Linked DNA regions of Drosophila melanogaster. The protein of the gene in region 1 interacts with the protein of each later gene in a pairwise test. Each region holds a gene or a part of one and is shown in the gene's direction. Other genes may lie near its edges.

Evidence for each region.
Region 2: the proteins of Naa35 (region 1) and Naa30A interact in a two-hybrid assay, tested with the Drosophila melanogaster proteins (2 studies listed by BioGRID).

Annotation. Positions count from the first base shown.
Region 1 is NT_033778.4:24,134,527-24,139,890, reverse strand, and holds Naa35 (N(alpha)-acetyltransferase 35), read left to right. Parts: upstream 1-1,840; 5' UTR 1,841-1,977; coding exon 1,978-2,030; intron 2,031-2,119; coding exon 2,120-2,492; intron 2,493-2,555; coding exon 2,556-3,123; intron 3,124-3,183; coding exon 3,184-3,365; intron 3,366-3,423; coding exon 3,424-4,461; intron 4,462-4,485; exon of another isoform or gene 4,486-4,523; coding exon 4,524-4,664; 3' UTR 4,665-4,711; downstream 4,712-5,364. Other genes in the region: Zfrp8 (zinc finger protein RP-8), read right to left, coding at 4,721-5,364. UniProt on the Drosophila melanogaster protein: Auxillary component of the N-terminal acetyltransferase C (NatC) complex which catalyzes acetylation of N-terminal methionine residues.
Region 2 is NC_004354.4:1,339,998-1,345,272, forward strand, and holds Naa30A (N(alpha)-acetyltransferase 30 A), read left to right. Parts: upstream 1-2,108; 5' UTR 2,109-2,494; coding exon 2,495-3,217; intron 3,218-3,292; coding exon 3,293-3,538; intron 3,539-3,781; coding exon 3,782-3,946; 3' UTR 3,947-4,773; downstream 4,774-5,275. Other genes in the region: MTPAP (mitochondrial poly(A) polymerase), read right to left, coding at 5,244-5,275.

The DNA of each region.
Region 1 (5,364 bases):
ATAAAAATGTATTTTTGTCGGCAACTTACGCGTGAAATTGGCTAATAAGTGGGCCTAATGCGCCGCCTCCTTCGATTTGGATACCACGAAGCGTTAAATTTCGGAATTTGTGTTGGAGACTTTCGCCCGATTCGTTCCGATTCGACCGACCAAGTGAACCGTTAGCACGTTTTTGAAATGATGATGCCCAGCTTTTGCAGGCTTGAGAATCTTATATGTACTCGAATGCTAGGGAGGTGGAATTCTTCTCGCGATTTGGGACCAACGTTTTCGTGTTATTTTTTAATGGCCAACGATAACACATTGAAATGCAATGAGCAAATGAGCGTTGCTTAAATAGTTCGCCGGTCGAACTCAAAAACTCAGTCGCTTCCAATCCCAATCTCTCTGCCCATCCGTTCTGCGTTCTGCTCATTCATTGAGTGGGTTTCCTCCTCGGGCTACCAAGTTCTCTCTGCAGACTACTCAATGTCAGCGGAGGAAGTAATCAGTGGATTTAAGTGGGGATTTAAGGGAATCGCATTCGAATAAGTTATATAAATTAATATACTAAGGGGATAACATTTTTAACACAATCAAATATGTTGCATAACTCCAGGCGCTTTCTTGGCAAGCAATGTAATTATTTTTAAATAAATCACGAAATTACCACTTTTAAAGAAATCAAATAACATATTCAAAATATCTTAAAAGTCTTAAAATATTTAAACTTATATTCCATCTAAAAGTTTTAATAAATACATAAATGAATGTATTGATAAGAAGAATCCACTGTTTATGGGAACATTGTAACCTTCCGTTTAAATGAGCGTTCTGATTTGAGTAAATCGCCACTAGCAAGAGAGATTTGGGAGCCGAGGCAGAGAAAGATTGTGATTTGGGGAGAGCGAGCGAGTGAAAGTGGGGCCTCCGTGGTAAACAAACCAATCCAACCCCTCGGGCTCAGCTCCCACTCGCAACTTGGATACTTGTAACACTCGGGGTGGCGGTCAACCCCAAAATCCGTGGGGCGGGCGTTGCGCCGCGTTGCTCGAAATCCGGAGTGAAACCGCGGAGTGAAAGCGCAAGCGAGCTTTTCCGTTTCCGATAACAGCGGGAACAAACGCGTCTGATAAGGTTGTAGAATGCCTCGGTTCAAGGCATACTTTATTTGCTTTAGTCAAATCGGAGCAAACATAATTAAGTGAGACTAAAGAGAGCTCGTGCTTTGATCCGTGTTTTTTGAACCGCGGAACTGTTCTGTTCGGTCTAGGCGGTCGTCTGGGTCTCAGATAACGCTGGCTTGCACTTTCAGTCATTTTGTTTAGTTAATGGGCCAGCCGCAGTCCAATGAACTAAGCTTTGCTTGTTTACTTCAATTTTCACCTGACTCAGCATTTGAACTTGGTAACAGTTGTAACGGTCGTGGCTGTTAAGCTTAACAGTGCAGCTTAAAAGCCACCAAGGCTCCAAGTTCCACATTTTGAATGCTAACTCACTTGTTTTATGGGTAACTTACAGAAATTCTAAGCTGAAATCATGGGAAAACATAAAAGCACCACATAAATCTTTGCTGACTTTCTTTTAAATGCTTTCAAAACATCCCAAATTAAAACAGTACACTGTTAACTTCGCCAGTGCTGCCAAGTTGGATGTTGGCGGGCTGAAAAATACTGAAGGCATTTATGCTTATACCTATTTAAGACTGTATCAATGAACTACTCTTCTTTAAATTAATGAACTGTTCTATAGATTTCTAATAATCATATAGCCATTGATTATCTCCGCAAAATCAAAAATGAACTTAGAAATAGAAAATTATGACTTGTTTGGTACCAAGAGGTATATTTGCAACATAGAGGCATGGCTGACCGTTCGTCACTTGGTCACACTGGACGTTACATATTTTAATTCATTAAAAATATCTTTTATAAATAAAAGAAAATTTGTAACACATCGAGCTACAGGTTGACCGCCTGTTGAATATAGGTACAAAAGATGTATCCCTCGACCTTGCCGGCGGAGGCAGATCCGAGCACCATGAACGGAAGGTGAGCAACAGACCACCGGCAAGAACCCACAGACGTGCCTACATACAGAGCATAACCATCTAAATGCACATACATACGCATATCCACAGCAGCGTTGCAGAGCCTCCGGACTTCCAGGCTGCCACGGCGGCCGCGGCGGCAGCTGCCCGGGCCAGTAGCTTGGAACAGGACGAGTGGAGCGTGGGCGAGTGCGGATTTCTGGATCCGGATGTGCAGCGCACCATGCGGAGCGGCAGTGCTGCGGAGGACATCACCCAGTACCCGATGCACGGCTGGGTGGACGTAACCAAGGAGTTCCACGATGCCTGCGCGGAGCTGCAGCCCGGGGAACTGGCCCAGGATATGCTGTTCGGTCTTTTTGAGGCCATGTCAGCCATCGAGATCATGGACCCCAAGATGGACGTGGGCATGGGCTTCGACAAGCAGGATCTTCCGCCGCCCTCTTTCGAGGCAGCCATTGCCGTGAGATTTGTCTTTCTGACCCCTGGCTAAGCTATATGTATCTTAATAGATGACTCTTTCCAGACGGGCGCCATCAAACTGGACGATCTCACGCCCTCCGAACTGATTGGCATCTATGATGCTCTGTTTTCCTGCCTGGTGTCCTGGCTGGAGGGCAACTCCATGGACCAGGTTCTATTCACCTGCCTCTACCTGCACGCTCCCGCACAGATCAAGGATAAGGCGCTGCGCGTCTTCTGCACTGCCGTGCGCAATCTCATCGTGGTCATCAAGAAAATTATTGCCGTGGCAGCTGTCAACGAGGAGGAGGACTTCCAGCTGTACGGAAATTCTGCTCTTCTGGCTGCAGAGAAGGCACAGCCAGCCACTGTTTATAGCTCGCTAAAGGATGTGGAGGATGAGCTCATACGCAAGTGCAAAAAGCTGACTTCCACGGAGGACTGGATGGCCGTGGTTCACCGGCTGCGTTTCATGCGCCATCTTTTCCAGGTGATCTACCACGTGGAGCAAATGGCCAGCAATGATACCGTCGATGACAAGGTAGACATATACAAAATCCTGCTTGTGGCCTCCGAGATGCTTCCAGGAATAAGGAACACTTTGGATCGGGGCACACAACCAGAGAAGGGGTGTAAGTGGTCACAGATAACTTGCCAATGTAAATGCTGAGTATTTCCTTCTAAATCACTAGCTGACGCTCCCAATCCCATGGGTTTCTCTCCGCGCATCCACGACCGCAGCCAACCGCCCGCGTTTCCGCGTAGCATTAAGATCAGGGATCGTCCATCCAGTTATCAGTTTCTAGAGGAAATGATTTCGCGCTTCAAATACGCCTGCAAAGTCACCAAGTACAAGGATTACTATTCGGCGCTGGTAAGTGACTTTTTAAGTGACTTCTAAAATAAATTGTAATAACATCCTGGCTTTCCAGAACTTCTTTATCGAGTACAGCAAAAAGTCGGGCCAGTGCATCCTGTCCAGAAGCGTGCTGCAAACCCTGTTCAGCGCCAACATGCGTATGGCGCACGGAAAGCTTCCCATGAAGCAGTTCCTGCGCCACTCGGTTCAGGTCTTCAACTCGCCACCCGTATTGAATGCCAAGCATCCGGTGGCTGCCGATCCCAAGGTGCAGCAGCACCTGGAGAACTTCTTCCGTTACTGCATTAACATGAACACCTTCACGCAGTTCATTCGCATCTGCGGCTTCAATCGCGCCAGACAGCGGGATAAGCTGGCGCGTCTGATAGAGAACTTCGACACCATCCAAGTGGATGCAGCGCGATTGGACTCTATGATGAACCAACTGGCCAACGAACGAGCCATGGAGGGCAACGAGCCCATGGCCACCGCTCTGAAGCACAGCACCCACTTCTCCACATGGGTGCTGTACAACTGTTTCCGTGCGATGCTGATCTTCCTGATGTCCGGCTTTGAGCTGGAACTATATGCTGTGCATGAGTTCCTCTACATCTACTGGTATCCATACGAGTTCCTCATTGGCTTCCTGGTCTCCGCGCTGACGCGCACGGAGAACATCCTCCTGGCCCAGGAGGAGTACGCCGAGCACCAAAGTAAGACCCAGTCGGGCGGCAGCGGAGCGGCTAAAAACCGCAAGGCGGCCAAGCCGAAAAAGAACAAAAAGACTCAAAGGCCGTACCGCGCCGAGATCGTCTTCTACCACGCGCTACTCAGCCTCTGCGGCGGAATGTATAAAGCAATGGGCGCCCTGACCAAAGACGGACGCGTGCGACTGCCGCTGTCCAAGTTCGACAACGAGGAGATCCGCTACAACCGACGCTTCCTGCCCTTCGCCACACTCACCAGTCCTCCGCCAGTTTCGTACGCAGAGTTCAAAAACGTCCGGGAGCACATGATGCGACATAGCGTCGAGGATCTATATACCTATGCGGCCAAGCACTTTGACCAGGCCCGCAATGTTCTCGAAAGCATTCAAAACCCAGATCAGGAGGTAAGTCAATGGTAGTTCTGAATTGGTTTTCCTGGATTAAAATGCGTTTCGTTTAATTTCAGATGCTGGACCTCCTGCAAATCGCACGGACTAACTTTGTGGTGATGAATGTGCTGGCTCGCGGTCACCAGAAGGAAGTCAAGCGGCAGCCAGAGTTCGACTTCTCCAAACACAGCTACTTCCCCATCATCAAGCTGAAGTAAATGTTCACGTGTTTCGTAATTGACAAGAATAAAATTTAAATGTACGCATTTTAATGTCAACTCTGATCCTCCGCCACAATGTCCTGCTTGATGAGAAGCTCCTCCACGTAGCCGTCGATGGGGCAGCTTTTGGCGCAAGTGTAGACGGCCAGGACGCCCCAGTCGAGGTTTTCGTCCTCCAGAAGAGTCAGCGCTTGCGGCATAATCTGAAATTCGAACTGACGCTCTCCTCCGCAAGCAATGCAATTGGGCAGCTTGTTAAGTTGGTCCTCCACCGTTTTGACGGTATTCGTGATCCAGAGGGGCTGGCCTCCACGTTTGTAGCGCACGATCTGATCGGGTTCGGCTGCTGTTTGCTTTTTGAACTGACGAAAGGTCTTGTCATCGGCGGCCGCCGAGTTTCCGAAGTACTTGTCCATCTCCGCCTCGGAAACATTGCTCAAGTCGCCCGTCTTCCCGCTGGACTCCAGCTCCTGGAACTCCGCCAAGCGAGCCTCATCGTCCTTGTCCTCCTCGCCAGACTCCACGGGGTTGCTGTCCATTACAATCTCAAATTCTGGGAAAACGATTTGTGTTAAGGGCTTCTCAGTGGCTACTTCTGGTGCTCCGCAGTTTGGCTTGTGTTGTGGCCAGTGGGCCCTTTGATGCTCTGGTGAGCAGTAGTGGATTGCCTTGCATTTGCTGCAGGCGTGAGGAGCAT
Region 2 (5,275 bases), on another chromosome or scaffold:
AAATGCTCGGGAGAATGGAGTGGGGCTCGGCTTGGAGCTATGGAACTATGGAGCTATGGAGCATCGCGCAAAAAGTGAATTGCTTTAATGCGCCGTGGATGTGCAAAATAAAATTGGTCAAATACCCAGGTCGCAGGCCAAATACCCTAATACCCTTAGGTGGCCTTAGCATACGTAGCTCTTGACTTATAGAACCAACTTCACTGACGAACCAACTGACAATGCTATGTCCGTTGGCTGGGGAGCCGCCAGTTACCATGATCAACCGACACAAAAAATATAGTTTAAAACAAGAAGTCCATGCCATTGTGGCCAAACTGCATATATCATTTCGTCACGTGGGTGCTAAGTGCTAAATTGTATCTCTATCTTTTAGAGATCTCCGCCAGCAAGGTGATAAGGCGTTGGCTGCGGCACCTGTCCGCTCCCGCTCTCTCCCCTTTCTTCGTTACCCTTTCTCCGCCACTGCTTTTACTTTATTCGGCCATTCACTTTCTCCGTATGTTGTTTGCTTTGCTAATTTTGGATTTGCCCGCGTCACTGCAGCAACAGCGAAAAGTGAAACAGACGTCCAGAAAAACGGACGCCAACTTGCGCTTGCAAGTTCGTATGCAAAATTTCAAGAAATTATCCAATCGCGTGGCTCGGATTATTCAATTTCAGTCAATCAAATTCAAGTCCAATTCCGTATGCAAAGTAGGCTATGCTGGTCCGAAAGCAGATCGAAGATCGAGACCGCCTGGCCTCCCCAGCCGATTTCGTCACCAGCTAGTGCTGATGTAGTCCCAGTTCTGGGGGCAGCCAGCCCAACTGAGAGGCAACGACATCGGCCATGCCGAGTTCGTTCGTTACCCAAGTCTTTCGATTATGACGTTGGGAGGAGCTGGAGTCCCCATCAAAGCGACGGGCTATAACGCTAAAACAGTCGACTGATTGCCGTCGTTAAAAATCCACAAAATTGACAGCAAACGGCAGGCGGATTTCTCCTGGCAGTTACCACATACATATGTACATACATTGTAAAATCAGGGGTTATATTTTCATTTGACTCGAAACCTTTGCAAGTTCCGAATAATCCTGCGTTCTCAACCAAGACAAACGGCAAGGAAAGTGGAGGAAGTGCAGATCTCAGGAAACTGCGGATTAGTGACTTATGTGACTTATATGATTCGAGATTGTAATTTGGTTTTATTGCATTTGATTTAGCTGTAATTTATGGATTTTATTTTATGGCGAATGCTAATGGCGCGAAAAGGAAACCAAAAGTAGGCGAAGGTCGCACTGCAGAGTTATTAATTAGTACAACTGAATTTAACTAGTAACTTACCAATTGAAGAACGTTTTTAATAGTTTGGAAATCACAAAACAAAAGAGACAAAAAAATAAGCGCAGGAGAAAACACGCACGTACACACAAACACACACACGTATACTTTTAAATGGCGAGTGTAAGTGAACATACGTTTCGAGCAATTTATTGGACTTCCATCCGTTTTCGGGTAACATTTCGATGCTACTCATTGCCACGACATGCACTTAATTATAACTAACACTTCAAACTGATTTGCAGCACTTTTTTCAAACAAAAGTCCCGTAAATCAAAAATCTTTACGCCGTAAAATAGTTGCTTCTTCTTTAAGAAGAAAAGGAAGAACAAGAAGAGAACTTTGAAATGAGCAGCTTCTTCTTCTTATTATTGATCCTCTTTTCCGTTATGTACAGCACACCCTCGCAAAAAGGCACAAGCTGACGATCTAATTTGGCAAAAGTATTGCAAATACAAATAAGTTAACATTCCAAAGTCAGAAATTAAATGGCAGCTATAAAGAATATAGGTATGAGAATATTACGTTTAAAGATTGTAATAATATTACAAAGATCAAATCTAATCAAATATCAAATATATGAACATTTGCGATGTAAGGTGCATGCCAAATATAAATTTGATAAAATCAACGTAGTTTTAGATTTTATTTAATATAATTTTTAAATATTTTCATTAATCTTAGCTGTTAATTTAATAGTAATAATATCAATTGATAATTCGATAGCCGATAGTCACAGTTGGCCGGCGATGATTGTATCGATAGTATCGAGTGCCAATCGATTGCTGTTACAGCTGTTCGCGCATATGTGTGGGTGGGATTTATTCATAGCAAGGAAAATTACGAGTTTTGCGGATATAGGATTTTACATAAGTTTGCCATGCACACGCACTAGCGCCACAAATCGAGATCGGATTGATCGATCCGGAACTCCGAATATCGGAAGCACAACAAAGAGGACGGCCGACTGCCCCATGTGTGCGTGCGCGAGTGTGTGAGTATGTGCGTGAGCGTGTGCGTGTGCGTGTGAATGAAAAACCATCAACTGTGAAAATATAACCAAAAATAAGTCCGAGGCACACGGTTGCAGGCGAGGATTACCAGTCCTCCCAGATAAGCCCCGGAGGAGCAGCAGGTTCCCTCTTAGAGCCAATTCCGTCGCTTTTCAGAATGGCGGATGCCCAGGCAGCGGCGGCCGGAAAGAAGAAGTACAAGAACAAAAAGAACTCAGCGGAGAAGAACCCCAATCACAATCCAAATTCCAGTGGCCAGGTGGAGGCACAGACACCCAGCAATGGACACGTTCAGCACCAAGAGGAGGAGGCGACGGAAGACCAGGAGCCAGCGCAGGAACTCAGAGGCCTGCTTAAAAAGATGCACCTTTGCAATGGCCATGGTCACAAGGAGCAGGAGGCTCGGCCGCTTGGGGAGGTCGTCAATGGCCATGCACATGGGCACAGCAACAACAATCACATTCGCTGCACAAGCGGCAGCAGCAACAACAACAACAGCACTCACAACAACAACAGCGTGGACAGCAGCAACAACAACCGCAAGCAGCGAAGAGAAGGAGGCGACGGCGGAGGATCGGATTCGAACTCCCTCAAACCGGAGGAGAAGCCCATAACAGCCACAAGCAAAACCACTGCCAACATACACCCAACCACAACGACGGACCCAAAACCAAAAGTGTCGGAGGATGTAGCTGTGGAACAGGGAGTGCATGTGGCGACGGGGAGTGGCCACAGTCGGGAGCAGGAGAGGAAGCAACCGCCCTCCGACTATGCAGAGGGGGCCACGCCCACCATTACAGCACAGCTCCAACTGCCGGAACCTGCCATTTCAGCCGACGAGATCGTATATAAGGAATACGAGGCTGAACACCAAATGCATGTGAGTACCTCCAAGTATGACCAAGTGCGAACTGTGCGCAACACTTATCTAATTCCCCGCATATCGAACACGCAGGACATCATGCGACTGATCCAGGCGGAGCTGTCCGAGCCGTACTCGATATACACGTATCGCTACTTCATCTACAATTGGCCAAAACTCTGCTTCCTCGCCTCGCACGACAATCAGTACGTGGGCGCCATCGTGTGCAAGCTGGATATGCACATGAACGTGCGGCGCGGCTACATCGCCATGCTGGCCGTGCGCAAGGAGTATCGCAAGCTCAAAATCGGCACCACGCTGGTCACCAAGGCCATAGAGGTAGGATGTCTGGGGCATCTTTCCCTTGCAATAAGTTATAAATCGGGTTGCATGTAATCGATGCTCGATATGTGTGTTACGGAACAATTATGTGTTGTTAACTATGGATGAAATTGCCATCAAAGCTCACCAATGGCTCCTCGAGCCTCGAGGTATACTTTCGGGCACATTGGCGAGGGATACATACCAACTACCTCTCTTTCTGTGAAAACTTATATCACACTGCAATTTTCCCATTTGCAGGCAATGCTGGCCGACAATGCCGACGAGGTGGTGCTTGAGACGGAGATGCGTAACCAGCCGGCTTTGCGGCTCTACGAGAACTTGGGCTTCGTGCGAGATAAGCGGCTGTTCCGCTACTATCTTAACGGGGTGGACGCGCTGCGGCTGAAGCTCTGGTTTAGATGAGTGGACCCGGCGGCTGCCGTTGAAATTGTTGTCTAAGTAGCCGCCGAAGATGTCGAGATCTGCGCTCTGCGGAGGACCAGGGCGCTCCCCTCGTCCTGGGTCCTGGCCAGCTGGCAGCTTGTATCGGCGCCCTCTTTTTTGTACCTATTTAACTAGGAAGCATCGTAGCATCAGTTTATTTTCTCCCCAACTCACACCGTCCCTTGTCTCTCTTTCATTTGTAAATTATTTTATTATGTAGCAGCAGCAGTACGAGCAACATCTGCTACATATGCAGGAGCAGCACGAGCAGCACACAACGGACCCGAAATTTGGTTAATTTTACAGGAGGCAATTTTGTATGCAATACGTGATTTACATGCATAAAATTAAGCATTAAAGTCGTAAGCAAGCAATTAGTTATGTACATTAAACAATCTACAAAAACCAATCTAGGGAATAGACAACAACATGAAGCAGCAGCGCAGCACACGCTCATCGACGCCCATTTACAAAGCTATAAACATAGTATCAAATTTTGTAAAAAGATCAATCAAAGCGATGATCGCGCAAGTCGAACGATAAACTCGATCATGTATATCAAAATAAACGCAATTGGAACCAAGAGCTGAGAACAGACACACAAAAATGCAGCCTCATATGCATACTTGTATACAAACCTTCAATGGGTGGATGGCGGTGGTCCTCGCGGCTAAGAAAACTCGCCATCTGGTCTTAAGTAACCTCTCTGTGCTCTCCAGAAACACGTAACACGTAGCGATAAGGATAAAGATGTGGTGGATCCCGAGTAACATTGAAAGAACGCAATAAAATCTTCAACAAATGCGAAAATCCTGCCTTCTGTTCTTTAGTTTAGCACAACTTGGGGAATAGCGAGCTTGTTTGGAAGTTTGTGTGGTGTTTTCCAATTGAGAAACTATATGCCAGTACGGTATTTTCGTTTTATTATCATAAAAAACAGAATTATAACTACTCGAACTAGGAAAGTATGTCTTACGGATAACTACTCATCCACAAAGTCAAATAATGACTGCTTCCTTCGGCTCTTTTTGACGTGCCCCACCGATCTTTCCCTGCCCTGCCACACTTGGTCGCATTCGTCAACAACAATCGGTTTCAATACTCAAAGTCGGATCGATCATGGACTTATCCTAACTAGCAGGAGGTTTTAAAGTATGAACAACATTCAATTCAGCCAACGGCGGCTGCCCTAACCTTAAGCTGGACTCACCATGAATGTGAAGTTGTGGCTTATCCTAAGTATGTATGTACATGGGCGGTGTCAGTCTCGGAAACATCACCTGCTTCGCCGTCGATTATTGGGACTGC